Lonchura striata: one gene and its partners. The protein of the gene in region 3 binds, or shares a complex with, the protein of the main gene of each other region. Links are inferred from orthologs where the notes say so. Each region holds a gene or a part of one and is shown on either strand. Other genes may lie near its edges.

Region 1 (10,464 bases), on a different chromosome or scaffold from region 3:
ATGTTTTCTAATAAGGGCTCCATATGGGGGTATGGCAGCATGGAATTTTTTACACTATTGCTGGGGCACATAGTTGACTTTTTTCCTGTCAGTCTGCTTCTGACTTAGCCTCTCCATGCTGGATGGATGTTACAAGACAGAAACAGATAATGAATAATTCCACTAAAACACCCAAGAAAGGCAGGGAAGGGAGGAAATAAGGTTACAGATTTCGCCAATTTATACCAATACTATTTATAGAATTATTTCTCAGTGAAACAACAAAGTACCATAATTTCACATCTATGTAATAGTCTCCACATAAAATTTCCATTTTCAGCCTATGTGAAAGTCACAGAACTGGGAAAAATAGAACTGTATGCATTTTAGAGTACTATTTGTCACTCTGCTCCTGTGCAGGCCTATGAAATAAAGGGTAACCATCTCTAAGCAGACCACATCACACAGGTACAGCCCCCAGGGGCTGAAGCAATGCAGAAGCCCACAGACTCACGAGGAGGATTCTGTAGGCTGAGGAACCTTCATTCCAGAGAGCCACCCAGCAGCCTGACATTCTTCACAATCAGATCTTAATGCTAAGCTCCTCATCAGAAAGTCTGTCTGCTCTACAATTCTGTTTGGATCCTGATGAAAGAGAGGAACTAGAAGAAAAAGTACTGGAATGGGCTGAGCTCACAGTCTGTGACTTCAAATCTGAACTTGCTTTCAGTAGCAAGACAATATCAAACTCAGTAAGCAACCAGGGCATCTGTGAGTTTCTTGTTTCACAGAAATATTTTGCTTTTCAAACAGCACTCAAAAGAAATCAGGCTTCCAATTCCTCCATGAAGTTCTTATACTGTTTTAAATGCCCATCCTGAAGTGATTGACAGTTCTGGAAATGGAGATCATGCTCTCTCAGTTGCTTTTTTTCACATAATTTTAAAAAATAATTTATATTGTATTAATACAGTGGTTAAAATTAGTAGTTTACACCTCAAAAAATAGCATACAGTAGGCACTGAACACACATAAAAGACCTTCTTATGTGGTTTCTTATCAGTCTTTTAACTTACCCACGTAATAATCCTCATGTGACAGAACGTACAAATCATGTCCTTCTCTTGCTTCTGTATCCACTTCCTCAAAGGTTTTTGGTGGATTTACAAGCTCTCCAGCTGTTAAATCTGGAAACAAATAAAGAATGTATGGTTGGGGGAGCTAAGGGAGGTGGATATCTTGTTTCATTCATTCTTAATTGTAAACAATACCTTGTTAGAGAAGTTGCTAATACTGTGGAAGGACAATACTTCTTACCACATTGCTAGTCAGTCTATATTCATCTAATAACATAATGACATGGGATTAGGGAGAGAATCACAGAACTCCAGAAGAACAGAACTTTTTCAAGAAAGCTACATGGGTAACACAGATGTGATTTCCTCCAATCTATGGAGGAAAGGTACACATGTCAAGGAAGTTTCTTCTATAAGAGTTGTTGGGAAAAGGAAGGTAAGTTGACAGCTACCCTACAGTTCTCCCAGGAAATCTATAAAGACAGATCAGGAAGAGAGCCAAACGCCCTGGTAGTTACCATATGTTCTCAGTTGCTTGTATCTTCATTGTAACTGAAAAATGTTTAGGCCTTTCAGTAGCTATCATATAACTCTTCTCTTAAAATGGAGTTGTTGAAATCATAGAGCATGTGCTAGATACTAAATTGCAGATTATCTTGTATTTACAGGAAATATATTTAAATGTCACACTTTCCTACCTTTGAAGACTTTCACTCCAAATGTAGTATTAATTATATCCAAGCCCTCAGGTAACTTCAAAGATTGATCATGTGATTTACCCAAAGGTGCTTCGCGATTACTGGAGTAAATTGCTTCTTTCATGTCTTGCATCTTTTCTTGAAATTCACTTTTAGCAACTGGACTTACCAATGAAGCTACCTGAGGACATCACAAACAACACCAAAGGCAGGAAAACCAACAATCTTTGATCTTTCACACATCACTACAACTACCCACACAAACAAAAGTTTGCTCATAAGTGTTCTAATGAGATCTTCATGGTTACACTGACATAATTTTATCCATTGAGTTGCAAACCAAACCTGTATCTTGAGAGAAGACTACAACCCTAATAACCAATGCTATGCTAAATTTCCAGCTAAATAAAATACTTTTAGTGAGATATTTTTTATTCTAGATTTTCCACTTTTTAATATGTACATTTTCTGCATTTTCTGACTGCAATCTTTCTTTTCTTAGCACATATTAGAAACTATAGTCAAATTATAATGTGACCAAAACTGAAGTGACTTGATTTTTCAGGCTATCTATCAAAGTAATGGGGATTCTAGAGAAGATTTATTATTAGATTCATATTAAATATTATATAAATAAATATTGAAAAAGTAGTAGCAAATACAATTGATCCAAACTCATGCTTAGCAAATGGAATAGGCTTCTAACCCTTCCTACAGATAATATTTAATTAATAATGCAAAATCTTCAACAGACAGTACAGGTTAATCCAGTACAGATCAATCCATTCAACAAAAACCTTCTAAGAAAGGACATCAAAACCTGGCTGTCTTTCATTTTAGATATGCCTAATAAATGTCCTACTTAACATCCTGGAACACTAGGACTTACTTCCTTCATAAAAATACACTTTACTAACACAACTGCTATTTTTAGAGATAGGAACACTAACTGTGTGATAAAACTATGGATGATCTCATCACTTGTTTATTGCAGATTACAAAGATAATTTCTAGAGAATACACACAACATAGTCTGACATATCCAAACTATCATTTTTAGCTAAAAAGATCAGTTTCAATCCAAAGGCAAGAAAGCATACAGAATAATTACACCAAACTGTGAACACATTCACAGAAAACAGCTCTTTTGCTAAGAGCTCAACTGGTTTTATCTCTGCAACCTACAAAAAAAAAAAAAAAAAAGCAAGCAGAAAAATTTGTGGGAAGAAGACTGTTCATTAACTTAAATCTTGAAATGAAATTAATAATTCAGCATTCACTATGAAAGTTACATCACTGACAACAGTCACTGCACTTCAAATAGTTTCCAGTTTCAATAATGCTAAATAAGACCTATGATTTGACCTCAGAACTCAGGTAATTCACAGCAACTGTGAAATGCTGAAGTATAAATCACTTGCCTTTATCACTGACTATGAAGAAATCAGTTGCTTTTATTAAGAATGCTCTTAAGAAGTCCAGTCTTAAACAAGAGTAAATGAGTCACATTCTTACAGTGAATTTGGAGGTTGACTTTATGCCATGTGTCAAGTGAGTTGCAACGTCGGGATCACCCGCACTGCCGTAGAATATTATTTTAGCACCAGGAGCTGGATCTGTTGTATTTCGAAACTTTCGTACAGCGATGGGAGTAACAGGCTATATGTAAGACAAAGCAAAAACAAGTTTGCACCAGACAAACATTAATGAAAAGAAAATGTACTGCAGACATTTGTGTCATTCCAGATATAAGAACAAAATACGAAGATGCTTTAGGGCTATAGTACACGCATATGCTCCTGCAGATGCTGATACTGTGAGCATAAGGTCAACGTAACCCAGATTAAATTTTATCAAAACAGCATTGCTAAGTTTCAACACTTCCCATAATTTTTTTTTTTTTTAATTTGGGTAACAGCTACTTCACATGCTCTAGAGGAAAACTAGATGTTCCAACTATAAATTTTAGAAGCCTTTAACCTGATTCACAGCAATTCCACTATCAATGAAGCAGTTTTTGAAATTATTTAAACCACAGTGTTGGGGTTTCTTTAATTATTGTTTAAAGGGAGACCTGCTATTTACAGGATCTATTTGTGTCTCAGTAGTCTCTGACTCTTCAGGTCCACAGGGAAGGGCCAATGGGAATCACAATTCTGGCAGGCATCCTTGTAAAGAAGAACCTCCATCAAAAGCAATAATAATTCCCAATAATTACTTTCATTGCATTACCAGAGGGAAAAACCGCCTAAAACAATTATATTTAGTCCCAACAAAGCAAGCATGGTAACTTTTGTAAAACATGTGGAATGAAAATGAACTGCCAGAAGTGATTTCCAGTCTTGCCAGCTAGCCTCTGTAATTCCATGCGATTTAAAAAAAAAAAAAAAAAAAAAAAAATTAAAAAAAAAAAATTGAAATAAACAGTAGTTTCAAAAGCGAAGGGATGTAGAGGGAAAAAAAAACAAACCAGGAGCCTCTACAAAACCAGCTCACCTTGGGCGCCTCTTTGAGACAACTCGCAACCGTATTGTCCGCGGGACTCAACTTTCCAGCCTAAACAATGCAATGAAAAAATAAATAACGTATAACTAACCTCGTAATAATACACACAACTAGTCAAATTGGGATCTGACACTACGCACGGGACATTGTCCAAGTGTGCCCGTTTTGATGGGGGTGGGAAGGAGCCTCCCCCGTTCTGGGAGCGAAGGGGCTGGCAGGGAGATGCGCCTTCCCCTCCCACTCGCCGTCCCTCCTCCAGCCCCTTCCTTCGGCGAGACTCCGCCCCAGACAGCACTGATAGGGGTATGGGTGGAACCTCTTTGGCGAAGGCGCTCACGTTCGGCACCTCCCGGGTCCCGTGGGGAAGCGTCTCCTCGGGACATGTCCGTGGCTGCTCCGCCATGGCCACGGCTTACCCTGCTCGCTCGGTAACGGCGGCGGCGCTGGCAGCGCTCGTGCGCGGCGCGCGGTGCCGCCGGCGCTCACAGCGCCCCGCCATCCCCTCACACCCAGCGCCCGTCCTGCCCCTCACAGCGCCCCGCCATCCCCTCACACCCAGCGCCCGTCCTGCCCCTCACAGCGCCCCGCCATCCCCTCACACCCAGCGCCCGTCCTGCCCCTCACAGCGCCCCGCCATCCCCTCACACCCAGCGCCCGTCCTGCTCCTCACAGCGCCCTGCCATCCCCTCACACCCAGCGCCCCTGTCTGCCCCTCACAGCGCCCCGCCATTCCCTCACACCCAGCGCCCGTCCTGCCCCTCACAGCGCCCCGCCATTCCCCTCACACTCAATGCCCCCGTCCTGCCCCTCACAGCGCCCCGCCATCCCCTCACACCCAGCGCCCCTGTCTGCCCCTCACAGCGCCCCGCCATCCCCTCACACCCAGCGCCCGTCCTGCTCCTCACAGCGCCCTGCCATCCCCTCACACCCAGCGCCCCTGTCTGCCCCTCACAGCGCCCCGCCATCCCCCTCACACTCAATGCCCCTGTCTGCCCCTCACAGCGCCCCGCCATCCCCCTCTCCCCCAGCGCCCACCTCTTCTCCCCTCACAACCCTCCCACCACCGCCTTCAGCACCCGCCACCCCACTTACGTCTCACACCCCCCTCGAAAAGTATTGCATTGGGCTGTTTTTGTACATGTCATGATCTAGAAAAATAATTAAGGTCCAGCCGCAGAGGTCGCACATTCCTTAGACCTTTTATAAATGAAAGCTACAATTTGTTAATTTAAGAAAATTTATTAAATTTACCAAATATAAATTTAGAGAATAACAACAAATAAAGAAATGCCACTATCAAAATGGAAAAAAAAGGTCAGTGCTGAGCCCGTGTGTCGGCGCTGGGTGAGACGCAGGTTTGACCGGTGCAGCAAAGGGTCTCCTATGCTCCACACCAACCCTCCTGTCTGGCCGATTTTTATACGATTTTTCTTGCTCGAGGCAGAGCCCCTTTTCTTCCTTTTTGGAATGCACGTGTTTAGTTGGAGTTCCAGGAATTCAACATTGAGATGTATCTCACTGATGGCTCTGGCTATCTCAATTTCGGATCTTTATCGCATATTTATCGCATTTTTATCGGACGTTCCTTGGCCTACTTTGATGGGTGATCCATCTTTGGGCTGACTATGTTCAATTGCTTGTGAATCGAGTCCTCCCTCCTTTGTCCATGTGGTTTCACCGCCGCTGGCCTGTGTGTTTTTAAAAACTTCTTATAAGAGTATATCTTAACAGTACATAACTATAAAATATATGACAATTTTATTTGCACAAATTATCATATACACATATAACAGACCTATTGTTAAATCTTTGAAAATCTACCAGCTTTAAGACAGGTGGGTTGAATCTTGAAGTTGAAATGAGGTCTTACATGCTCAAAGATTTGATCAAACTTTGAATCTTAATTACTTTAATAAAAAATACTGCTCCTTTCACAAATGTTGTCACATGCTATTAAAATATTGGGGCTGTTCCTCTAGAGAAAACTGCAGCCCCCACCCACACATAGCTTGGAGGTGGGTGAGAGAAGCCCGTCAGCACTACCCCATGTATCAGACACGTGAGTGCTGTCACTGTTTGTCTTAAATGAGTCAACACCTCATATATCTAACCCACTGTATTTGCCTTTTAGAAACAGATGTGGATTATTTCAGAAAAGCAGTGTGGGTAAGACTGAACAAGTTTCATTGACGTTTAACAGACCCTCAGTTGTTACAAAGACTTTTATTCGCATATGACATTTAGCAAACTATCCCGTTCTTCCCAGCAAAATATCGCAATTTAATCACATCCTGCTCCATTCTCCATAGTCCTTCGATGGCAAAACCAACTTTAGATAAATATACAGACCTTAATTGTAATTGATCAAATGTTACCATGTGTCATCATTTTATTCTCTAACATTCGTTTGGTAAGGACTTCATTAAAACTAAATTCCTTTTCTACAAATGGAAAGTGAGAGGCTCAGACAGCCACAGCTGTCTGATGATGTGCTCTGGCTGTCCAGTCACCAACAGTACTTGCCAGTGCCATGATCCATGAACTTCCAGCACATATAAATGTATCTTGGTCTTCTCCAGGCAAGAAGCATCATGTATAACATCAACTGTGATCTAGCTGTGGCAATGCAGATGCCCTTTCTCAAAAGAAGTTATGTGTTTTTTTGCTGTAGACGTGGCTGCATCACACACCTAGTATGGAATATCCATGTCCACTTGGGAACTAAAGAAGCTCTCATAAAGTCTTAGTGTGTTCAGTTCTTTTCATATTTCAGTTATATTTGTTGTTGCCTGAAGTTTAGAGCATTTCTGCAAAATAAAACAATAATTTTTGGTAGTTTAATAAATAAAATTATTGGTTATGTCTTGTGATCCATTAATCTGTAAGGTTAAACTTCTATCTAGTAAAGTTGTCAGAAGGGAGATCTATGGAGAGGGAGAGCAAAGTACAGTAGTGTAAAAATTAGATGGTAATTATAGGGTACAGGAAACTGGGACTTTTTTATCCCAGAATAAAATTCAGGAAATGGAATTTTTGTGTTTGTTGTATTTCTAGATGGCTCTCTACCTGTGCTCAAGGTGGTACCATTTTTATACATTCTGTGCATTGCTGATTTATTTTTACCTTGTTTTTTCCCCAGCAGGTGGCCACACTTGCTAATTGAAATCATCCACTCAGCCCCAATGGAGTGGGTTGTGTTAAGGCATAAAAATAGGACTTGGATATGTAAAAAGAGTGCCTGTTGCAGAAACAAGTAGAGCCTATTTTTTTTTTTTTTTTTTGCCTCTATGCTTCTTTCCTTTTTTGCAGAAACATGGGTCCCTATAAATCAATTTGAAACCTACTGACAATATACATTCCTTCCTATAATTCCTCTCATTCTGGTATCAGTGTCATATCCATTCTTTCTTATACTGAAAGTTATTTTGGCCACAGAAAGAACATTTGTGGAGTAGGAAGGACTTGTAATTTTAAAGATAAGATGAAGCATTAACAAAAACCAATTGAACTCAATTTTATGGGAAAAAAAGATTAAAACTTTCTTTACTTAAGCATGAATTTGTCATCTCCTATGTCAAAAGTAGGATCTCTAGAGAAAGCTGTTTGGAAAAAGTTGAACAAAATTTTCCATTCCACAGCAGCACTTCTTTTCCTCAACAGTACTTGACATTTCACAAGTTTCTGACATCCAATTCCCACAAGCTCATGCATTTTTTTGTGTTGTTTAGGCTAAAACAGAGGAATGGAAACTGTCTAAACTCCTGCATTTTACTTTCTTTATGAAGCGCAAGCACCCCATGTTCTGCAACACAGCTCTCACTCTGACTATGGTGCTGGCCTAGACCAGAGTCAAAACACTAAGTTTGTAGGTTCCTGAAGGTCTCTGAAGGCCAGAGGAGTTCATGTAAAACACTCCAAATGTTGTGAAACATCTGAATTACATCAGCCATGCCAATGCACTTCACTGTTACTGCCTGGTTGCTTTCATAGTTTCTTATTCAATACATTTACAGATAGGAAATTACTGTTTTCTATGTGCTGCACGCTTTCTGTATGCAATACGCAAGCCAATATAAGTGCAGAGAAAATGTACACAAGTAGAGATAGGAGACTGAAAAAAAGAATGTCATAGGGAAAAAAAAGAGGGGGGGAAGTTCAAACACAATGAAGAGATTCTGCACATAAACTGCAGAGAAATGCTAAAATAGATGGAAAGCCACCTGGTGAAAACATAACCAACATAAATTTATTAATATCACCCAGCAGTTTCACTTTTGGAATGTGATATATGAACCATGATGAAATAAAATATGAAAACATGACCACAAGTAGGGGCTATCTGTGTGATTTCAGAGCTTTCCTTCAACATCTTTTTGTGCAGACTACAAGATAAGAAACTTGTCTTCACCACTAGAACCCACAGAGACCTGTCAAGCCTGAAATACAGTAGCTGGAACTTGGTCATTTGATTACTGCCACATTCTCTCATGCCTCTCTTTCACATATTTCACACATTCACAGTGAACCTTTGGTGTTTACTGTCCTACTCTGTCAGCATCAACCACATGAGAACAATTTAGGCATTTCACAAAGTGAGAAAGACATGCTACAGCTCTGCCCTGCAGTCAGAGAGTTAAGTTAGCCAGCAGGAACCTCCTGCATGCAAAACAGGCTTCCTAACAGCAATTATATCATGTGAATAGAATTCCTGCATAAAAAATTTCATTTAGCCTTGAGCTTCAGATACATCTGACAATCTGAAATATTATTTCAATTTTATGAATGGAATTCATATTAGAATTATTATTTATGTTAGAAGCATAGAAAATGATCCTTACATATAGAATAGTATGGTCCTTTATTTTATAGGATTAAGTGAAACACAAAATGTCATGTATGATGTGTTTAATCTCTAAATTGAATTTAGTTCAAGTTATTCTAAAGATTCAGTGTGATATTTTTCCACAAAAACTGTTCATGTATGTACTGTGTCTGGCTGAGGCAGAGTTCATTTTCTTCATAGCAGACTGAATGGTGCTGTGTTGTGGATTTGTGACTAAACTACTGTTGGTAACACAGCAGTACCTCAACTACTGCTGAACAGTGCTTGCACAGAGTAAGGACTTTCTCTTTTTCCCCACTTTGTCATCAGCCCCACCCAGGAAGAAATGCTGCTGATGGTCCAGAAATGTGGGAGTGGAATACAGCTAGGACAGCTGACCCAAATTGATCAAAGGGATATTCCATCTCACACAGCATTGCAATCAGCAATAGAAAATGGAGGTAGACAAAGGAGATTGTCTTCCAAGGTGGCTGCTGCTTGGAGACAGGCTGACACTGTCCTGCTTATGGGAGGTAGCCAGATATTTCCTTGCCTTTTAACTTCCACTTTCCTTCATCTATCACACTGTCTTTATCTTAACCCACAAGTTTTCCTGCTTTTGTTCTTTTGTTATGTTCTCTGTCTTACTGCAGGGAGGTGAATGAGGTGAGTGAGTAAGTGAGTGAGCGAGTGAGTGAGTGAGTTGAGTGAGTGGCTGCCAGGTTGACTGGATGCTGGTGCCTGGTGCTCCAATGCATGCATGTCAGGTGTGTAGTAAAACACATTTGGTTATCAGGAATCTGCTGTTTGCTCAGCAAATCCTGCAATCCAGTTGAACATATTGAGACCAGTCAATGGGTTATGGCAAATAAGCAGTGTACTAGGGCAGGATTACATGAGTTAAAGGACAACTCTTACAAACATTTAGGAAACTCACAGCTCAAAAAAGTTTGTATACTTTACTTAAACAAACATGTTTCTCTGGAGCTAGTCTGGCATTCTACATCACTGGTGAATGCAGACTATTTTACTTTTTTTGAAGTTACATATTGGCCTTTCACAATGCACTTACGTTAAGTGATTAACTTCAACTTAATAAAGGAGAAAGGGGAAATTGTTACTCTGAGACCAAACTGGTACCAGTGGAAAAGTGTATGGAAAAGAAGAACTGATGAAGACTAAAAAAACAATCTGTTTTCATTCCATTCACTTCAGTATGTTCAAGTATTTATATGTGATACTAAGGAAGGGGAAAGCAGCGTAACACAAACCACAGGCTTTACCCAACTTGATTTTTGCTTCATTTAAATATATGTGGTTGAAATAAAAAATATATTTTGAGAATGCAACAATTTGATTATTTCCTGTGGTGGAGTATCTCAAC
Region 2 (9,534 bases), on a different chromosome or scaffold from region 3:
AGTGTATGTCATGTCTATTAAAATGCTATTAAATTAAAAAAAAACCAAACATGTTGAGCTGCTTTTAATCCAGGTTTAACCAGGGCCCCCGTTCAGTTTACTGCAAAGCCATACAAAAGTACATATTGCACAATGAATAAATGTTCAGGGATGAAAACACTACCTTTCAATTATGGTGCAAGTTTATGCTGCTGTAATTGCTTGTGTCATTAGCCTGCTAGAACTTGGTATCATACTGGTTTTAAATTAATTAAGACTGCAATATTTCCAAGAGGGTACATTCTCACACAAACAGTTTATGCAGACACTCTCCTGCTTCCCTTTGCAGCTGTTACAGCTGATCCAACTTACTCTATATTTACAAGAAAAAACAATATCAGTGCAAAAGGAGAGATGAAAGCATGCAGTCAGGACAGGGAGAAGGGCAAAACAGATGAACCTCGTTAAAGGAGAAGCCTTGCTTGCCTCAATCCCACAGACAGCAGTTCAACACTGTGAGCTTTAAAAGGTTGGAGTTTTTTCAGCACGAACAGTTCCCTGAGCAGCCAACATTGTACAAATGAGGACACAACAACAGGCAGCAGTACTAAACAGCCTGAGAGAGGAAGAAGATAGGACTGCCTTCCAGAGCACTGACAGTTTAAATTGTCTTGCAGTGCTCACTGAAGTGTACTCCTAGATTGTACACAACTGCTATTGTTAAACTGGAGAAGTTCCTCCAAGACAGATGTGCTACTTCTCAATATACCTCTATCAAAATACTCCTTTAACTTGACATCTATTTGCCCCAAAACACACTGATTCTTCCAATAAATTAGCTGTTATAATCAAAAGATACAACTTTCTTGTATTCTTTCCTATAGCCTCAAAATCAAATTAGAAACTTTGACTGCTACAAAGTAAATAACAAAATCAGTCTTGATTATGCAGTGGATAGATGAATATAAATATAATGACAAATCACAAATTTCGGAACATAAACAAATCACATCATGGTTAAAATTAAACTTTTTCTAGGAGTTATTTTCTAATGGTAAAGCGTAAGAAAGCTCTTCACAACACATTACTGAAAATGGCTTGAGAGAAGTGCTTAAAGTACAAAGATTGAGAACTCATTCCCACACATAGAGACTGCAGATTCCTAAATGTAGAACAGAAGAATGAAAATCCAGAGCTGCAATACAAATAACCATTTTTCTGCTTAAGAGCAATTACACTTTTTTAGGCGATGAAAGCTGTGCCCTATACAGAGCTAAGACTCTAAGGCTGAATAGCTGCTTTGGTTTTAGAAATACAGAAACGAAAATTTTTAGCATCCCTTCCTTTCTAAGATCATCTAGTAAATATTCTCATTCTATCCCTGTGGCCTGTTCCTGAAGGCAATTTCTGACTGATGTCATGGAACACATGAATGTAATAGTAATCTTATAAGAGTTGGGAGATAGATAAGAATTATCATTCTACTGTTTCCTTTAAGTACTAAAATGAATCCTGTCCTTGAAAAAGTGCTTTTACCACCAGCGCATTACAGAAAAGTGGGACACTAACACTTCATTCTCTTCTCTACAGTTGCAGAAAACAGGAAAATGTCATCTAGAAAGGATCAGAAATGAATTGAGATATATTCCTGCTGCTCACATTCATGTTCAGACACTTCTATATCGGCTAGTCTCTACATTAATTTTTAATTGTGTTCCTAGTTCTATATGCAGTACCTCTGAAGTAAGAGCACATAACATTCTTGATTTCACCGGAGGACAAAACAATAAAAATGTAAATGTTTCTTGTTATTATAGAAGACCTTTATTGAACCTTGCTTTTAATCTAAACTGATATATAAATTTACAGTTTTGGAGTAACTTAAACACTTTATTCAGTTCAGGAACATTTTTAGGTGAATATTTAAGCATTGTATTTCACTAAGCAAGTTTTTGATTTAGCAAGAGCTGAGAAAAGTCTTAAATACTGTATCTACTTAATTTCTGCACTTACTACTAACTACAAAAGCAGACTTTATTCAGGAACATTCAAGAAAAACAGCTTAGTAAAACACTCTTTGCCCAAGCAATGTAAAAGAATTCCGGAACATTTAGTATAATATTTACAGTCATATATGCATAAAGGTAATCTACGCTAAGAGTTTAAGACTAACTACATGCTTGCACTAAAGGCTATTAATCAATACCTCATTATTTGACCTGGAGATGCCAAACACGTTTAACCCTATGCCTTATCATGCTGTTAACAAAAAGAATTACCATGTCGTAACTAGATATTCCTGCTGTGCTTTCAACCCTTCAGTTAACTCCCAAGCCTTCCATGAGAACTTCATCAAAGATGTCAACCTCTGACAAGTGAGTACTTAATAAATCTAAAGCTCCATTCAAAAAGTAGTTGGAAAAGTAAAAAGAAACTCCCACTTCAGCATAGAGAGCGTGGCTATGAGATATTCCTTTTTTTGCACACTGGAAGTTATTCTGGTGGCTGCCTGACCACAGATGGAGCTCTTGCAAAACATAGCCCTGGCACTATGAATCTCCCAAGACCACTAAGAATTTCAGAGCTTCCAACCCAGTTATGAGTAGAACATGTGCAGCAGGTCATAATACTGTAAACCCGAGCTCTGACAGGCTGGGAGGGCAAGCGAGGGGACAGATGAGCAGGGCAGAAATGAAACAGGCTGCTCAGAGAGGTCAGGCAATCCCTGATGTCACAGTTTAGCTAGGAAAACCCTCACTGACCTGATCTGGATACTGGTGACAGGCCCACTTCAAGTAGAAAGTTGGCTTAGATGATTTCCAGATGTCCATGCCAAAGAAAATAATTTCTGTTATTCTGTGAGTAGCTGCAAAGGCAGCAGATTTACTTGTAGGCAGTTCCTTAACAACAGTATCACATGATTTAATGGTCTGTTCATGTTTAGGAAGTCATAAAGGCAGCCATAAAAATTAATACTCTATAAATATTTAAAAGGAAACCTGAATTCTGATTAAACTCATAGTTAGTTATGTTCACAAGTCACAGCTCCTTTTTATAAATTAAATATGTGCTTCTCAAACTCAACTGAAACTGCTGATTCTTCTAGACAAAATAGTCTTTTACATATCTAGGTGTAAACAACCACATGCAAATATCCATTACTTGAATTTTCTCTGGAGAACAGGAAACATATTTTAAAAATTAATCCTAAAGGTTGCTGAAGTATTATAGTTCATTCCATGCATCTCTACAATAAAAATAAACAAACCAAACAATCTTTAAAACAAAGAGATTATTTGGCTGTATTCACCTTGTGTTTTTCCAAGTAAGGTGAAATATGTTGCAGTTTTACTAAATAGGAGAAAGTTTTTCAGGTATACAACTTTTACTCTATTTAAAATTTCTTTAAAGACATACTTGTTTGGCTTTTTAAGAGGATGTTCTTGCTAACTTCTTCTTGATAACATAACATCTTGATAACAAGATCAGAGAGACTGCTCCAGGAAGACCACTTCAGCAAAACAAAGGGAAATAATGTATTTCATAACAGCTGTCAGAACACTCTATAGATTTAAAAAAACCCTTGAGGACTCAAGCCTTTGCTAACACCTTGAACTGTGTCCAAATGAAGAATACAATTCAGGAGCTTAGGCAGAGATGTATGGTAATATTACCTCATCCACTCACATGTTGAATATTTGTACTCTGTACTAGTTAAAGCTTTTAACTCCTAAATTCTGATAAAGGTAGATAAATAAAACAGTATAAAGAGATTTGAAGGGCCTTTATACTACTATTTTAACTCCCAAGCCTCCAAGTTCATTAGAAATTGTGACTGCTACTTGTTGGATCAATTTCTCTGTCTTTGAACTACAAGTTGGAGAACTAATGTTTGTTTGTTTAGTATTCTCCTAGATGGTGTAGAAGTTATTTTCCAAGCTTATTTAAAAAAATCTATTAATCTATTTTCCAGATCTATGTGACATTCATATCAGTTTTATATACCATGCCAGTGTATGAAAACTTTTGAGAAATACTGCACTACTGGACAGCATTTTGCTAAGTGGGAGGCAGGAAGCTTCACGCACAATTCCATAGGCTGGCAGTTTAACAGGATGTGCACTGCCAATACAAAACCATAGAAAAAAAAAAAAAAAAGAAGTAACACCAAAATAAAGCACTTGGTGAAAGTATCGCAACTTGCAGCAATACTCCTGCAAAGTCCGAGGGTAATTTCAGCAACCAGCAAACTCCAGATAAAGTATTAGAAACTTGCACACCTTCCTGCCACGCTATATCCACAGCTCTAACTTGCTATGCTTCTTGGACAAGTTCAGTTAATTAGTATCACCACTATGCTTGCAGCAAACATACCACGCTGTTTTTCATCATGGCTCTAATACTGAAACCCTCGCAGGCCTGCTGCTTGTCCTGCTGCTTGTCCTTCTTCTCCTGCTGCTGGGGCCGCCTGTCACCGGCCAATTTTGAGGGGCCCGGGCGCCCCTCCTCCATTACAATCTCCCCACCGGCGCCCACGGCGGACCAGATGCAAGTTACGGACTGGAAAAAACAAGCGACCATCAGCGTCCCGTGTCCAGCGAGTTAGAGCAGGCATTAGGTCCAGCTTCTCTCCCTCCGCAACCAGCGGCAGCCTCACACACCCGTCCCGCGCCTTCCCTACTCCTCACAGACCCCTTTTGCCTGCCCCTCTTCCCCAGTCCCCTTCTGCATCATCCCCGCTCGTCCCCCGCACCCCGCCGTGTCCAGCCCTTCGCCACCTGATGTCCTTGTCCCCCGGGGGTCTCGCCCCCGCCCTCCCGCCCGCCGCGGTGTCCCCGCCGGCTCCGGCCCTGCCGAGCTCCGTCGGCACCTGCCACCACGCGACCGTTGCCAGGCAACGCGTCAACAACCCTGAGGGAAGCGGGAGGGGAATCACAAATAGCCCCGTCGGCACCGCCCGGTCCCGGACAGCTGTACCTACCCCCGGTGCACCGCACACCGGGGCGGCGGACAGCAATTAACGAGAAAGTCATTAGCGGTGTGTGGCGGAAACGTGAGGCGATAACGTGAGAAGAGCGTGTGCGGGTGTGAGCTGCCCAGGAACTACGCTACCCAGAGAGCCCAGCGCGTGCCTCCACCTCCGCCACCGAGGCGCATGCGCGTTCAGGGCCGGCCCAACACGCCCGCAGCGGCGCGACCCCCCCAGGGCGGCGAAAGGGGCAGCGCGGAGCGGTGGGTGCGGCCGGCACGTGCGCGCACGCCTCGCCCCTCTCCGCGCGCGGGGCCGCCGCCGCCGCCATGATCGGTGAGTGAGCGCGTCAGGGAGCGGGGCGCGCCCGGATGCGGTTCCGCCCTTTCCTCCCCGCCCCTTCCCTTCCGCCCTCCTCGCCGGCGCTGCCGCGGCCGCTGCTGTTGGCGCCGCTGCTCTTGTTGCCTCTGCTGTCGCTTCTGCGGCCCTGGGAGCGGCGGGGGCTGTCCCGGCCCCCTTCGCTTCCCCTCGGTCCCCGCGCGCCTCGCCCGGTGTCTCGGCAGGGCGGGGCAGCTCGCACTCGCGGCGGGGCGGGCTGGGGCCGCCCGCGCTCCTGGCCCGCTGCTTAAACCGCGGCGGGGCAAAGCCCTCCTCTGTTACCCCCGGGGGAGGGGGGGAAAGGTCTGGCCAGTTCTTGTGACTGAGCTCATTTTTAGAGCTCTTTTATTCCTTTTCGGTATATCGATTGTAAGTGCTTCTCGGCAAGGTTTGTGCGATCTGCGAACGTTTTTTGGCCTTGCCAGCATATATACTTGTTATTAATCCGGCGTGGTACCTGGTGGCGACCTGGAAAAGAAGAAACTTTCAACACCTCACGGTGTTGGGAGTGTGACCCTTTGGACCTTGAGTTGATTTCTGTACCCATCCAATGCTGGTGTGAAGCGTGACTTGGTTGTTTCAGCAGTGGGTTTTCTTCACTTCCTTGAAAGATTAATCCATACCTGGGAAAGTTCGAAATTGCAGGATCTGTTTTGTAGCGTTCCTATTTATTATGCATTTCATCTTTGATTTTCTCAGTTTTGAGAATTATTTAAAGTAAAACCTATAAAAGGTAGTGGATTGCACACACGCATTTTAGCAACTCCTTGCTGTTCTCAGGCTTGCTGTTTCGTCAGCATTGGTGTCATGGTTGCTGTCTACTTAAGATCTGATCAAATTGAAAACTCCGCATTTTGTTGTGAAAATGTTTATTGTTTTTAAATGGAACGTCTCAGAAGTTTCCAAGAATGCTTTGGGTCTTCTTAGCAGTGAAAATATGATTGCATGTGTATAGCTAATGTTCTTTCACCTTTGCTAAAACTAAAAAGAATGTTGTCCAGTATTTTCACTCTGTATACATATTAATGCAAATGATCCCTTCCTAATTGTGGAATTTTTCTTACTGGACTTTGTCATTTGAGCTACTTTTTTCTTATGTAGTAGAGAACATTTTAAATTGAAGGCTTGCCTTAAGGAAAGCACAGAGGGTCAGGTATCCCAGTGTTTTTATTTTGCAATGTTATCTGCTGATCTGATGTATCGCTGTAGTATATAAAATACATGTGTTTGCAGAACTGCAGTGTGTGTTTGTTTTTTCAATGCTTCAGAAAAGTAAGTTGAGTGTACCTAAGGGACTGCCCATGTGGTTACAGAGCTGATGCCTCTAGCTTCACACTGAAATCTAAATATTTACTTACTGCTCATGAATATAAATGTTCTGTGACTGAGGAATGATAATTTTATTTTCACTGTGGCAGATGGAAACGTTTGTGAATATTGATTATGAAATGTACAGACCAATTAGTTGCATATTTAAAAACACAGCTTTACATGAGTTGCAACCTGCCCTGGTTTAACCCCAGCTGGCAACTAAGAAGCACACAGCCACTGGCTCATCCCCTCCTCCCCTGCCTTGCAGGGTGTGGAGGAGAATTTCAGGTAAAATAAGAACAGTTTAATAATTGAATCAGAGTAATAAAAATACTGATAATGCTAATGATTATGATAATAGTAATGAAAAAGAGAGAGAAGAAGAAAACTGGAGGAAAAAGGGATGCAGAATAAAATTGTACGCTGGCCACTGACCAATGCCCAGCCCATCCTCAGACCAGCTCCCACCAATTTATCTCTTGGTGTGGAATGTCCCTGTGGCTAGTTTGAGTCAGCTGTCTCCTGGCCACACTCTCCCAGTTTCTTATGCACCTCCTCACTGACAGAGCATGGAAAACTGAAAAGTCCTTGATTCAGGCTAAGCACTATTTAGCAACAACTGAAACACCAGTGTGTTACCAACATTATTCTCAAACTAAATTCAAGATGCATCATGTTACCAGCTTCTAAGTCAAATTAACTCTATCCCAGCCTCCCCACACCCCAAAAACCATGTCACCCTCCCCCACTCACCCCCAAAAAAAGAATTATCTTCAAAGTATGTGATGTGGAGACCTGGTCCAGTATCCTGCTTTGAGACTTTCTGAAAACTCCTCTAAACATTTGGAAGCTGGGAATGCCATAGCAAAAATTGGGGGTAGGAATGCAAGGGTGAGAAAATAATCTGCCCATTTTTTTAACTTGAGTATTTAAAAGAATTTTCCTATAAAATACATAGTATATTTTTCAAAATGTTTCACAGTTTCATATCTCTAGAAATGTCTTACATCCTCATAATTTGATACCATAATATACACATGATAATTCCTTTAACTGATTTTTTATTTTCTATCTTTCTTTTTTCTCTTCATATCTCACAGACCAGGTCATGTAGACTTATGCACATTCAGGTTCCCTAAAGTGTAATTTGAATCCGGACTGAGCTAGTTAAGTGACATAGCTTGCATTACCTCTACTTAGGGGCTTGGTAGGTCTGGGGAGTTTTTTTGAGGTGGGGTTTTAAAGCTTGTTCTTTATTTTATTTATTTGCTTACCATTGGATCAGCTAAAACCTGTTGTTAGTGGAATGGAAGTGGCAATCTGCAGTTGGATTGGCTGATCTATTTCTTAGTCAACAGCCCTGGCAATAATGTCACATTCTTGAACACCTGTTCTGGGGGGAAAAATAAAAAAATAAAACTGATTTTGAAGGAAGATGCTGGGACAGCTTTGTGAAATTTTTTCAGAAAATCTCTCTCAAAGAGCAAAAATGCCAGGAGAAGGCCCTAAACTGTTTTAAAAATGTAGAAGGTCGACTCTATATAGTTAACAGTGGCAGTTCAGCATTTCTGTGGCGAATGGAAGATGAAGGTGGTAATAACGACAGGTTGCGAAGGGCTTTGACAGTGAAATATGATTCATCCAGCAGTAATCAAGTTAAGTGATAATGGGAGCCTAGGTGAAAGTTTTAGCTATCTGGATGACCGATCATTCCTCTGTGTTGCAACCTTTTTCAGTGTTTGGTAATATACTTTCTGCATAAATATTTCTCATTAGTATGAAAATAACCTTGAAGAAGGAAAATAAGACTAAAACCTTTCAGAATTTCCCTGAATATATTTATATACATGGTACTATTATAATAATGGTACTAGTGTAGCAACCAAAAGAAAAGTAGTTTAGTTTTTCTACTTAGATATTTTGATTTCATACTGCAGTTTTGGTATGCAAGATGTCTTTTTGTATTTTCTGAAATTTTCTTCTTTTGTTGGCATTTTGGTGTTCTAATGCTATGGATAGTTCAACTACAAGACTGGAGTTACAAGCTCCAGTTGTAGTTCACAAACATGTGGAATAATCTGGCTGGTAGTTTGATTAAACAAAACCTAAGCCTTGGAATATCAAAGGCTACTTGCATTTCAAATACATGACCTGTTTTGCTCAGTTTGTTTTGAGTCTTTTTCCCTTCTGCCACTGTATTGGACTGCATGTACAGAATTGAACCATGAAACACTTTGTGTTTTACTGGAATTACATATTAACTATTATTTTCCTACAAAATGCTTTATTGTTACTCTGTCAGCAAGGTGTTATAAAGTTAGTGTCATTTGAAGTAGGATATCTTCAAAAGATAGCTTAGTTTTGCTAGATACACATAAACATGCTGTATTTTGTTTCCATTAAGGGAGATGAGAAGTTTTGCTTGAATTTCTTTTTGAAAGACAGGGTGAGAAAGAGTGGGGCATGTCTTTTTGCTTTTTTTGGTATTTTTGGTTGATTTTTTTTTAAATGACTGCAAAATAACAGTATTATAATATCATGTCACTGGAGACTAAGGAGGGGTTAAGGATATTCTGATGCAGTGTTTCGAGTTTTTCAGATAGGGCCCTAAAGAAAATTGATCTGGCAATTTCTTTAAATTATGGCCCATACTTACTTGTAGGCAATATGTAAATAGAGTATCCATTGCCCAGTGCTGTGATCTAGCCTATCTGTGTGATGAGAGAATAAAGTTGAGTTTCAAATTCCACTTACTTTGAGAAACATCTAGGAAAAGGTCTTTGCTAACAAAATATGGAAATTGAAAAACATATTTTGGAAAGCATAACAACAAACTACTGCTTAAGAGTCCTTGCCAAAGTAAACAATGTATTTTCTAGATATGTTTAAAGCTGAAG
Region 3 (9,511 bases):
GGTCGAACCCAAACAGCCACAGCTCAGGAGCAGGCCCAGCTCCAGGGACAGCAGAGCAGGAGCTTTGGGACTTGGGGAGGATCCCCAAGGGAATAAATCTCCGCAGCCTGGTCTGCAGGGATCCCAAGGACAGCACCTGGGCCATGCTGTGGGCATGGGGGATGAGGTGGTAGGGACTGCTGCCAACACCTGCCAGGAGAAAAATTTATGGAGTGGAAAAAGGGACAATGCAATGTAGCTCTTAATTAGAAGACAGCAGGACTGGAAGGAGAATTGCTTTATGTTGGCTTAAATATTTTATATAATGCAGAGTCAAAGCACATGACTTTGATAAAAATAGTGTGTTTTAAAATAAACCATTCCATGCTGTTGTGGGGTCTTTTTTTTTGTTTTCCAGCTTTTGGAGAGAAATCCACCTTATACATTGGGCACTAGATTCCCCCTGACACACTGGCCGGACACCAAAATCTACAACCGTGCTGGACTCATACCTAACTACGCTGGCTTTGTACCACGTAAGTTCATCAGCCGAGTGAAAACGAAAGTCACTAATTACTGGGTTAAGTAGTGCTGTTATTAGCTGGAGTGGCACAGCAGTGGACAATCACTGAGATGCTCCACATGGGTAGTAGACTTTTTTGTGGTCTGTGCTGAGGCACTGGAACTCTGCCATGCCCTGGCTGCAGGAGAGCTCAGCATTCCCACTGCCAGCCTCTCCCAGGCTTCACATTTCCAGGCACCATCCCCTGCCAGGCTCAGTGACATCCCACCTGTCACGTATGAGGAAGATTTGTTCCAAAAAGCTTCAAGTCTGATTAAAAGGAAAAGGTAGATGGTATGAAGGGGTTGAAAAAGCACAAAAAGTGTAAGGAAATGGTATTTGCCATCAGGACACGTCCTTGCCCGAGCCCTGTGACATCTTGGGCTGCCTAAAAGGAGAGGTCTGGAGGAATTTTGTGTGTAAGGCAAAGTGTGTCCATGCACCTGGAAGCATTAACGTACCAGGCTAAAAAATATCAACGAATCAGCAACTACTGCCTTGCTGGGTTTGGTCACATCTCAGTAATGTGGGTAGGAAATCGTGGAGCTCAGCTGGGAAGAGCTGAACTCATTGCTCGTCCTTGCTGCAGTGCAGAGGGGGGAAATGGGAGAAGATATGAAATGTGGCAGGATTGAAAGCACAAAATGGGAAAACAACTCTCCTGGCAGGGCTGGGCTGTGGCTGATGGGGAGGTTGAGCCCAGAGAGGAGAATGCTGAGTGCAGGTCTGACACTGGGCCCTTTTCTGCAGACATTCCCACTTCCCTGCCTCTGGAGCCACCAGTCAGAACAGTTTTAACTGCTCCAACCAGTCCAGCTCTGGGTGGAGAAAATTAATTAAGGCAGAAAACCTTTAAACAAAAGCAGTTATAATTTAGAACGCTGAACAGAATTTTTTCAGCAGGGAAGGAACCTGCTCCCTCCTGTCCAGCTCCTTGGTTGGCAGGTTTGTCACTTGAAGTGACACCAAACATTGGAATGTGTTCCAATGGTTTTGGTTCTAATGGAATTGTTTTTACAATGGAATTGGTTCCATTGTAAAAACCTGCTTGTTAAAACAGGGTTTTCACGAGACAAACCAGTGTCAGATACCTGTCAGGTGTTCAGCTCACCCAACAAGCAGAGGCTGCATCAACACCGATTATCAAACCTCTGCTGTGATTTCTGCAATCACTGCAGAAGGGCTGTGTGCGTGGGACAGTTTTGATGGCACCTGTGACAGTGTGCCCTGCACCCTTGGGCCAGGCCAGGGCTCCCTGCTGGGTTTGTAGCGCTGAGGAGCTGCAGTGGAGCAGCTCAGCTGCTGCAGAACACCCAGTGCTGGGTGGCAGCTCTGTGGCACCATTTTGTGCCCAGGCAGCTCAAACCACCCCTGCTCAGCTCCTGCCAGGCCACGCTGCACCAGGCCACAGGCAGGTACCTAAATTTAGCTACAGCTCGGAATTAAATCCACCCTCCCTGTTAATGTGCCCCCCTCCAGCAGTACCTGACTCTAAGAGACCAGCGAGTGCCTTCGATCCGCACCGGCAGGAGCAGGACTGCCACCCTGCCGGTGACACAGCAGGCAGCACCTGGCTGAGGGCAGGACAGGAGGGTGGCTGCCGTGGACGAGGTGGCAGTGCTCGTGCCAAGCCCAGTTTTTGTGTTGCAGACCTGCAGGACATCAGCGGGCTCACTTACGGGGACGGCACACGGGAATCATACCGGTGTGAACAGAGGAGACGGGGACGTGCACTGTGAGAACTGCTTTAATGGTGCCTGTACAGCATTGGGAGTGACTTGGAAACAGCAATAATAACACAACACAAACAGAACTTTTGAATGAGAGAGTTCATACAACTTTAAACAAAATTTACAGGTGTTCAACTGCATAGCTTTATTCTGCTTCCTCCTCAGCTTCCTCCTCAAACTCTCCCTCCTCCTCAGCTGTGGCATCCTGGTACTGCTGGTACTCAGAGACCAGGTCGTTCATGTTGCTCTCAGCCTCTGTGAACTCCATCTCATCCATGCCCTCGCCCGTGTACCAGTGCAGGAAGGCCTTTCTGCGGAACATCGCAGTGAACTGCTCAGAAATGCGTTTGAACAGCTCCTGGATGGCCGTGCTGTTGCCAATGAAGGTGGCAGACATTTTGAGGCCGCGAGGTGGAATGTCACAGACTGCTGTCTTAACGTTATTAGGGATCCATTCAACAAAATAGCTGCTATTTTTGTTCTGAACGTTTAGCATTTGCTCGTCCACCTCTTTCATGGACATGCGGCCCCTAAAGACAGCGGCCACGGTCAGATAGCGGCCGTGACGAGGGTCACACGCCGCCATCATGTTCTTGGCATCGAACATCTGCTGGGTGAGCTCTGGCACGGTTAGAGCCCGGTACTGCTGGCTCCCACGGCTCGTGAGTGGGGCAAAACCAGGCATGAAAAAGTGCAGACGTGGGAAGGGAACCATGTTCACTGCCAGCTTCCGCAGGTCAGCGTTGAGCTGGCCTGGGAACCGCAGGCAGGTGGTGACACCGCTCATGGTGGCTGACACGAGGTGGTTCAGATCACCGTAGGTGGGGGTCGTTAACTTCAGTGTTCTGAAGCAAATGTCATAGAGTGCCTCGTTATCGATACAGTACGTCTCGTCCGTGTTCTCCACCAGCTGGTGCACTGACAGCGTGGCGTTGTAGGGCTCTACTACAGTATCTGACACTTTAGGGGAGGGCACCACACTGAAAGTATTCATAATTCGGTCTGGGTACTCCTCACGGATTTTGCTGATGAGAAGGGTACCCATGCCAGAGCCGGTGCCACCACCCAGGGAGTGAGTAAGCTGAAAGCCCTGGAGACAATCACAGCTTTCAGCCTCCTTTCTCACAACATCTAACACAGAATCGACTAATTCAGCACCTTCCGTATAATGGCCCTTTGCCCAGTTGTTTCCTGCTCCGCTCTGACCTGGAAAAGAGCCATTTTCGTATTAGATTACGGTCACTGCTTCCTGCTTATTGCTCGCAAGCAAAGCCTAAGAGCATCGGGCTCCATGAAAGCTTTCATCTCATCGAGCGCAGGGCTGTGGTTTCACACAGGCACCTCTGCAGTGGCTCGCCAGACACAGACAAACATTAATTACCAATGATACAGCACCCACTCCATTTCTCCCGGTGGCACGCACCGAGGCGGTAACCCAGAACCCGACAGCAACGACCCCTGGTGCCGCCGCGGAGCCGCTCCCAGCCGCAGCCCCGGCGCTCCACGGCAGGATTAGCCCCGCAGTGCCCTGCCCGCCCCACCCCGCGGCGCCCGCCCCCGCGCACTCACCGAACACGAAGTTGTCCGGCCTGAAGATCTGCCCGAAAGGCCCGGAGCGCACCGAGTCCATGGTGCCGGGCTCCAGGTCCACCAGCACGGCGCGGGGCACGTACTTGCCGCCTGCAACACAGCGAGAGCCGTGACCGCCGTGACCGCCGGGCCGGGCAGCGCGGGGGGAGCGCGGGGCGGGGCCGGGCCCTACCTGTGGCCTCGTTGTAGTAGACATTGATGCGCTCCAGCTGCAGGTCGCTGTCCCCGTGGTAGGTGCCGGTGGGGTCGATGCCATGCTCGTCGCTGATCACCTCCCAGAACTGCCCAAGAGAAGCGCGTCAGCGCCGGCCGCGCCGCGCTCCCCTCCCGCCCCCGCGCCCTCCGTCCCCGCCCGGACCTTGGCTCCGATCTGGTTCCCGCACTGCCCGGCCTGCAGGTGCACAATCTCCCTCATGATGGCGGCGGCTCAGAGCGCTCTCCACAACCCCAGGCTTTCCCCAACCGACTCTGGCTGTGCGAGGCAACCGCCAGCCCTTATATAGCAGCGGAATGCGCGCGCAGCCTTCTTCTCCCCGCCCAGGCGGCCATTCGCCGCAACGATTGGATGCTTATAGCGAGGCTCTACAAATGAGAGAATCTAATTGGCTGCGGCGCTGTCACTCAAGCTGACGGCTCCCATTCGCCCCGCCCTCCTGTCTGTTGGCGTTACAGTTGGGCAACCGGGAGCCGCGAGTGCCCGCCCCAGCTCGCTCACGGCGCTCCCCATTGGCTCAATTGAATGATTGATGTCGAAGCCGATTGGCTGCCGGCCGTGGGGGATGAGCTAACGCCGTTTGATTGGCGGAGAACGAAGCGCCCTGGTAACCGTCGCAGTGACTCCGCAGCGGGCTCTGGGCGGTGGCCGCCGCAGCCGCCCATTCACGGACCCGAGTGCGCGCTTTGCGCAGCGGAGGCGGCGGCTCCTCCTCACTGCGGGACAGGGCGGGTTCCCCGCGAGTCCCCAGCGCTTCCCCCCCGCCCCTCGGCTCCGCTCCTCCAGGCAGGTTTCCCTCCTTCCTTCCCCGCCCGTCCCCCCGTCCCGCTCCAGCCGGCGCCGCAGCGAGTGGGGGAAGGAGGCCGCGTGCGCACGCGCGGGCCGCAGCCACATTCCAGCACTTTCCGGCGCGCGGCCCCGGCCCCGGGCTGGCGCGGCCGCGCGCGGGCGTTGCCATGGCGGCGGCGCGCGCGGGTGGCGGGAAGGGGCTGGAGCGGGCGGTGTGAGGGGAGCGGGAGTGTGAGGCCTTGGCGGGCTGAGGGGGACGCTGAGGGCTCAGGGGACGCTAAAGGCTCAGGGGTTCTGGCAGCTGTGAGAAGACTGTGGGGGCTCCAGGATCTGTGAGGGCTTGGGGGTGCCATAAGCGCTCGGAGGGCTGTGAGGGAAGTGTTGGGATGTGGGGGCGTGAGAGGGCTGTGAGGGCAGAGGGGGGTCCTGGCAGCTGTGAGGGGTGTGTGGAGGTTTGGGGTGTCCAGCTGCTGTGAGGGCTTAGGGCTGCTCTGAGCCTTGCAGTGGCAGCTCTGTAGAGGCCCCTGTGGTGGGAGGGGAAGATCTGCCTGTGAGGGGATCTGAGGTAGACGTTGCTTAGTTGTCAAGGCCTCCCCACATGGACACTCCGTCTTGGGCTGTGTGTGGGTGCTGCAGCCCTGTCCTGAGGCAGCCAGACACCCTGTGCTGAATAAATAACCACCCTCGCCTTTCCTTGTCCCTTATTCTACCTCCCAGCTTTGTGAGCACATTCTTGCCCAGACAGTGCATCCATTGGTCACAGTTTTATTAAACATATTTGATTATTGTTTCAGCAGAATCTTTTTATGGTTGTATGTATTCATTGTGATTCTAGCTTGGTTTACAAGTCCCAGCATCTCTTCTTTCATACTGGAGCAAAAACTTGAAAGAGGCTTCTAATGGAGCTCCCAAGGCAGGGAGTCTCATCCTGCTGTCTTGCTGTGGGGTGGGCTGACCTCAATTGTGCTGACACAGACCAGCTCTGTGTGACACTCATCCTGGAATCTGTGCCTGGATAACAATAATCCAATCCTGTGCTGGGGTCAGGTGAGGAGGAGGTGGCAGGATATAGAAGCCTCGTGAAGGCTTTGGCTGGAGGTTGAATGGCCTCTGGTAGTCTGCTTAATATAAAGATTATGAAGATCAATACTTCTGGCATGTAAACAACATATTCCTGCAGAGGTGCTGGTAGGAGTCCAGGAGCACTTGGAGCAGCCCCAGGGCATCAGGAGTGACTGAGGGTCCTGGGAAAGGTTTGTGTCTGCCTGTGGGGTGTCTGGGGAGACACACACAGCTCATCCCTCACATCCACAGCCAGAACGCAGGAGGTTCCTGCAGCTCCCTTTGAGAGAGCTGAGTAACGCAGAGGCGTTAGGGTCCAGATTTATTCCTCTAATTACAGGCATTGATTGAATAGTGTTCATGCTGGAATCAATGGAAAGGGATGGCTCGGCCCGCTCCAGCTCGGCACAGTCCTCTGACATCACCTTTTTGTTCTCTGATGGTGTTTGAGGTGACCAATTCCAAAAAGTGCAGCATCATTTAGGTACTAAAGGCAGCCAGGATGAATCTGATAAGATTGCTCACGGTTACACACAAGGCTGTGCTAATCAGTAAAGACAGCTTTTCCTGCAGGATGTGATGCCATCTCTTCAGAGTAATGTACAAAAAGAATCCTGGCTTCTTTGTGATTAAAGCCAGGGAACGTAGAGCGTGCTGTCTGGAGAGGTACCTTCAGCATCAATTCTCTTCAGGTGTGCTCAGCACAGCGTTCAGAGGTATGTGTGCTCAGGAAACCCTGGAAAACCTGCCCTGAGATGGAGTGGGGGAGCCACTGCAGGGCTTGGGGGAGGTTCTCTGCTACGAGTGCTGTGTAATGCAGATACAGGTCTGGGATTTTTTCATCCAGGGCCAGAAAGCAAAGGGCTGTGCATTAGTGCCATCCATTTTCTCACTGTATGAGCAATCCCGAGCCTGTGTGCTTCCCACAGCCTCTACTCCAGCCTGCACTGCCTTTCATGTTTGGGAAGCTGCTCTGTAATGTGTGGAGTGAGCAATTGTTGCCACCCCCAGCATTCCCAGAGGGAGTGTGAGAGTGGAAATGCTCTGCTCGGTTAAGGCTCCCATACCTGTCTGCAGAACACCAGCAGGATTGTTCCCAGTGCAGCAGGGCTAGGACCCTATGGAGCAGCTAAACTTTGCTCTTTGATTGACTTTCTAGAGGTTTCCCCAGGAGATTCAGCCACCTGAATATCTAAGGGGGAGGCATTTCAAATTATTTGTGCAACATTAATTTTTGCTAATTCTAGCCCAGTCAGCGAGTATTTCTGTTCTTAGCTACCTGCACATCCACAGGAAATGACAATCCTATCTTAAATATTTTTCCATTTTTAAAATGGAAGTAAAATGCCAGTACTTCTAAGATCTCTCTGAGAAGGAGCACAGTCAGGAATCTCCATGGAGAGCTGCTGGAGCTGCTGACCATGTCAGCCCTGGTATTTCTAACGCTGTGGCAGGCCAGCATTAATTAGTGTGTGCCAGGAGGTGAGCTGGCAAGTGCCACAGCAGGCTGTTCCAGAACCCTGGCCCACATGGAGCATTCCTCCCAGGGTGAACCTCTGCATGGAATACTGAGTGTGAGGCAAATTCTGGGACAAAAAGCTGCACATTCCACAGTCCTGCCTGAGCCGAATGCTGAAGTGCATTTCCCTTGTTTTAGTGGAGAGGCTGCATCTTGCCAGAGTAGGGAATGCTGGAAGGCAGTTGGGAGGGCAGAGAAAGGAACAGTGCTGAGGTGGGATGCTTGTGGCTCCCACATTGTGTTTTCATTTCAGACATCTGTCTTAGCTGGTATTTAATTACTTTGAAAGTTCTCCTCAAACTCTGCTGCAAGTGACAAGCAGGGAGGTTTCACCTCATTTAGGGGCAGATCCCATCTGTAAGTGCTGCATAAATTAATGTGGTGAGAAGGGTCCTAGAAAAAATCAGGGCAGTGTTACATGGCCAAAGACCCTGGGTATAACCCAAAGATAGACACTGGGAAGTTAAAACAAGTTGGAAATTGCACTTCTGTTTTTCTGAATTACGTATTAGGGTTTTTTAAAACTTTTTATTACCATTGTTTTGGCTTTTAACTACCTGTATTGCTTTTGGCTTGGAAACAGATTTTACTGTAAACACAACTGGTTTGGACAGAATGGGGAGGGACTTTCTTTTCACTCTTGCATATTGCCTTCCCCATTTGCTTAACAAGTGTTCTCTGCATGTGTGTACAGAGCTGATCCCTCCCCTCAGCAGGCAGGCACACAGCGACTGTTGTTCCTCTCGGTGCTTACCCGGTGAGATTGCAGCCTGTGTCTCTGAAACAGGATCCAGTCTGAACTGAGCCTCTACCTGGGGCTGGCAGGAGCCCAGAGAGAAATCACAGAACTAATTATGTTTCTGTAGGTAAAAACCTGAAGCCCTGAGTTAAGGGAGGGACACTGGCGGATGAGTGTGATAGGAGCAGCCTTCAGAACCAGAGGGTTTTTGGTGTTGGGGTCGTTCCAGGTTTATGGTAACACTGAAGTGAGACGTGGGTATGTGCAGGTGTTTCCTCATTTTTGTCTGATTGTTACTTCTAAGGATAAACAGTCTTGTTTTCCAGAAATTACTGCTGCTGTGATATTGAAATCATGAAGGTGAGAGGCTGATTCCAGAGACCAGTGAGTGAGAGGTGCAGTTGTGGGATTCCTGCCTAAGGGAAATCAGAATAGCTGAATGGGATCAAGCCACAGACCCACCCAGGCCAGTGTCTTGTCTCTAATGCTCTGCAGCAGTTACCAAAGAGGAACAGGGCAAACAGATATGGATGTGGCAGGTGGTTCAGGCAATTCTTCAGCCACAAACAAGTAACTTTTTGTTTAATAGCCCCAATGGGTTATTATGAGTTTATCTAATCACCTTTTACAGCCATGTAAACTTCTGGCATAAACAGCCTCCTGTCCTGATTAGTCCTGTGGTTTAATTACGATCAGTGTGGAAGAAGAGTTCCTTCCATTTGGTTTGATGATTTCCACTGGGTAACTCCGTTCACAAGGTGGACAAAGTGGTGAGTCTGTCCTTTCAGAGCTTTCACTCCAGGACTGTTTCACATTTTTTGTGATACTGTGAGACAAGGTAATGCTAAACCAGCTTTTACTTTGTGTAATGTTTGGCATTAATTCGTGATTTACATCTCCTTCATGTTTGAAGCCTGTGAACTTTGAACATTGTTCCCATGAAGGTTCCACAGCTCTTCTGCTGTTCCTGTCCAGTGATAAGCCTGATAGCTGTTGCCTTCTTTAATGTGGAGGATCTGTTTCTCCTGAGACTTTGCACCAAGAAGTGGTGACTAATTTGGTCATGAGGTGCACATATGGTGACACCCCTGCTGTGAACAAAAATAAGTTATCCTTCACACAGAAGTTGATTTTATCATTCTTCTGTCTCTCTCAAACCTCCTCTTCATTCTCAGGGCCTGGTAGGGATTATTCTTTCTCCCTCATGTTTCCAAAAGAGCCTTCATCCATACTCCATGCTAGTGCCTGTCTCCCTGCATAGAGGGCTTTTTCCAATGGCTTCTTAAATCCCTGATCAGAGTGGCTTTCACATCCCACACAGAGAGTT

The links.
Region 1: the proteins of TUBB4B (region 3) and EFHB are in contact, whole or in part, in a cryo-EM structure (PDB 7UNG), measured with the Homo sapiens proteins. The link is inferred for Lonchura striata from reciprocal best matches to the Homo sapiens genes TUBB4B and EFHB. Residues at the interface, in NP_006079.1 of Homo sapiens: Asp26, Glu27, Asp31, Pro32, Thr33, His37, Gly38, Asp39, Ser40, Leu42, Gln43, Thr55, Gly56, Gly57, Lys58, Ser78, Gly79, Pro80, Phe81, Gln83, Leu215, Lys216, Leu217, Thr219, Thr221, Asp224, His227, Pro243, Gln245, Phe270; in NP_653316.3 of Homo sapiens: Tyr523, Gly524, Val525, Gly526, Leu528, Ile529, His530, Asn531, Arg532, Tyr537, Arg539, Asp542, Arg545, Ala546, Ala549, Ala550, Arg552, His553, Lys556, Tyr608, Asn624, Phe625, Trp628, Asp630, Lys631, Thr686, Leu687, Leu688, Ser691, Asp692.
Region 2: the proteins of TUBB4B (region 3) and PACRG are in contact, whole or in part, in a cryo-EM structure (PDB 7UNG), measured with the Homo sapiens proteins. The link is inferred for Lonchura striata from reciprocal best matches to the Homo sapiens genes TUBB4B and PACRG. Residues at the interface, in NP_006079.1 of Homo sapiens: Glu194, Phe260, Pro261, Arg262, Gln291, Phe294, Asp295, Ala296, Arg306, His307, Gly308, Arg309, Tyr310, Val333, Lys336, Asn337, Ser339, Tyr340, Phe341, Gln375, Ser413, Asn414, Asp417, Ser420, Gln423, Gln424, Tyr425, Gln426, Asp427, Glu432; in NP_689623.2 of Homo sapiens: Glu40, Gly41, Phe42, Thr43, Val44, Ala46, Met47, Met48, Val53, Arg54, Gly55, Pro56, Pro57, Ala58, Ala59, Gly60, Ala61, Phe62, Arg65, Lys154, Arg160, Arg162, Arg191, Gln192, Pro195, Asn198, Ile199, Phe200, Asn202, Met203.

Annotation. Positions count from the first base shown.
Region 1 is NC_134603.1:120,171,898-120,182,361, reverse strand, and holds the start of EFHB (EF-hand domain-containing family member B), read right to left. Parts: upstream 4,662-10,464; coding exon 4,596-4,661; intron 4,310-4,595; coding exon 4,250-4,309; intron 3,413-4,249; coding exon 3,269-3,412; intron 1,935-3,268; coding exon 1,754-1,934; intron 1,167-1,753; coding exon 1,056-1,166; intron 1-1,055. UniProt on the Homo sapiens protein: Microtubule inner protein (MIP) part of the dynein-decorated doublet microtubules (DMTs) in cilia axoneme, which is required for motile cilia beating.
Region 2 is NC_134605.1:36,998,142-37,007,675, reverse strand, and holds the start of PACRG (parkin coregulated gene protein), read right to left. Parts: upstream 4,676-9,534; 5' UTR 4,561-4,675; coding exon 4,354-4,560; intron 1-4,353. Other genes in the region: PRKN (E3 ubiquitin-protein ligase parkin), read left to right, coding at 5,278-5,284. UniProt on the Homo sapiens protein: Microtubule inner protein (MIP) part of the dynein-decorated doublet microtubules (DMTs) in cilia axoneme, which is required for motile cilia beating. Suppresses cell death induced by accumulation of unfolded Pael receptor (Pael-R, a substrate of Parkin).
Region 3 is NC_134624.1:4,243,741-4,253,251, reverse strand, and holds TUBB4B (tubulin beta-4B chain), read right to left. Parts: upstream 4,327-9,511; 5' UTR 4,277-4,326; coding exon 4,220-4,276; intron 4,143-4,219; coding exon 4,034-4,142; intron 3,952-4,033; coding exon 3,841-3,951; intron 3,478-3,840; coding exon 2,417-3,477; 3' UTR 2,271-2,416; downstream 1-2,270. UniProt on the Homo sapiens protein: Tubulin is the major constituent of microtubules, a cylinder consisting of laterally associated linear protofilaments composed of alpha- and beta-tubulin heterodimers.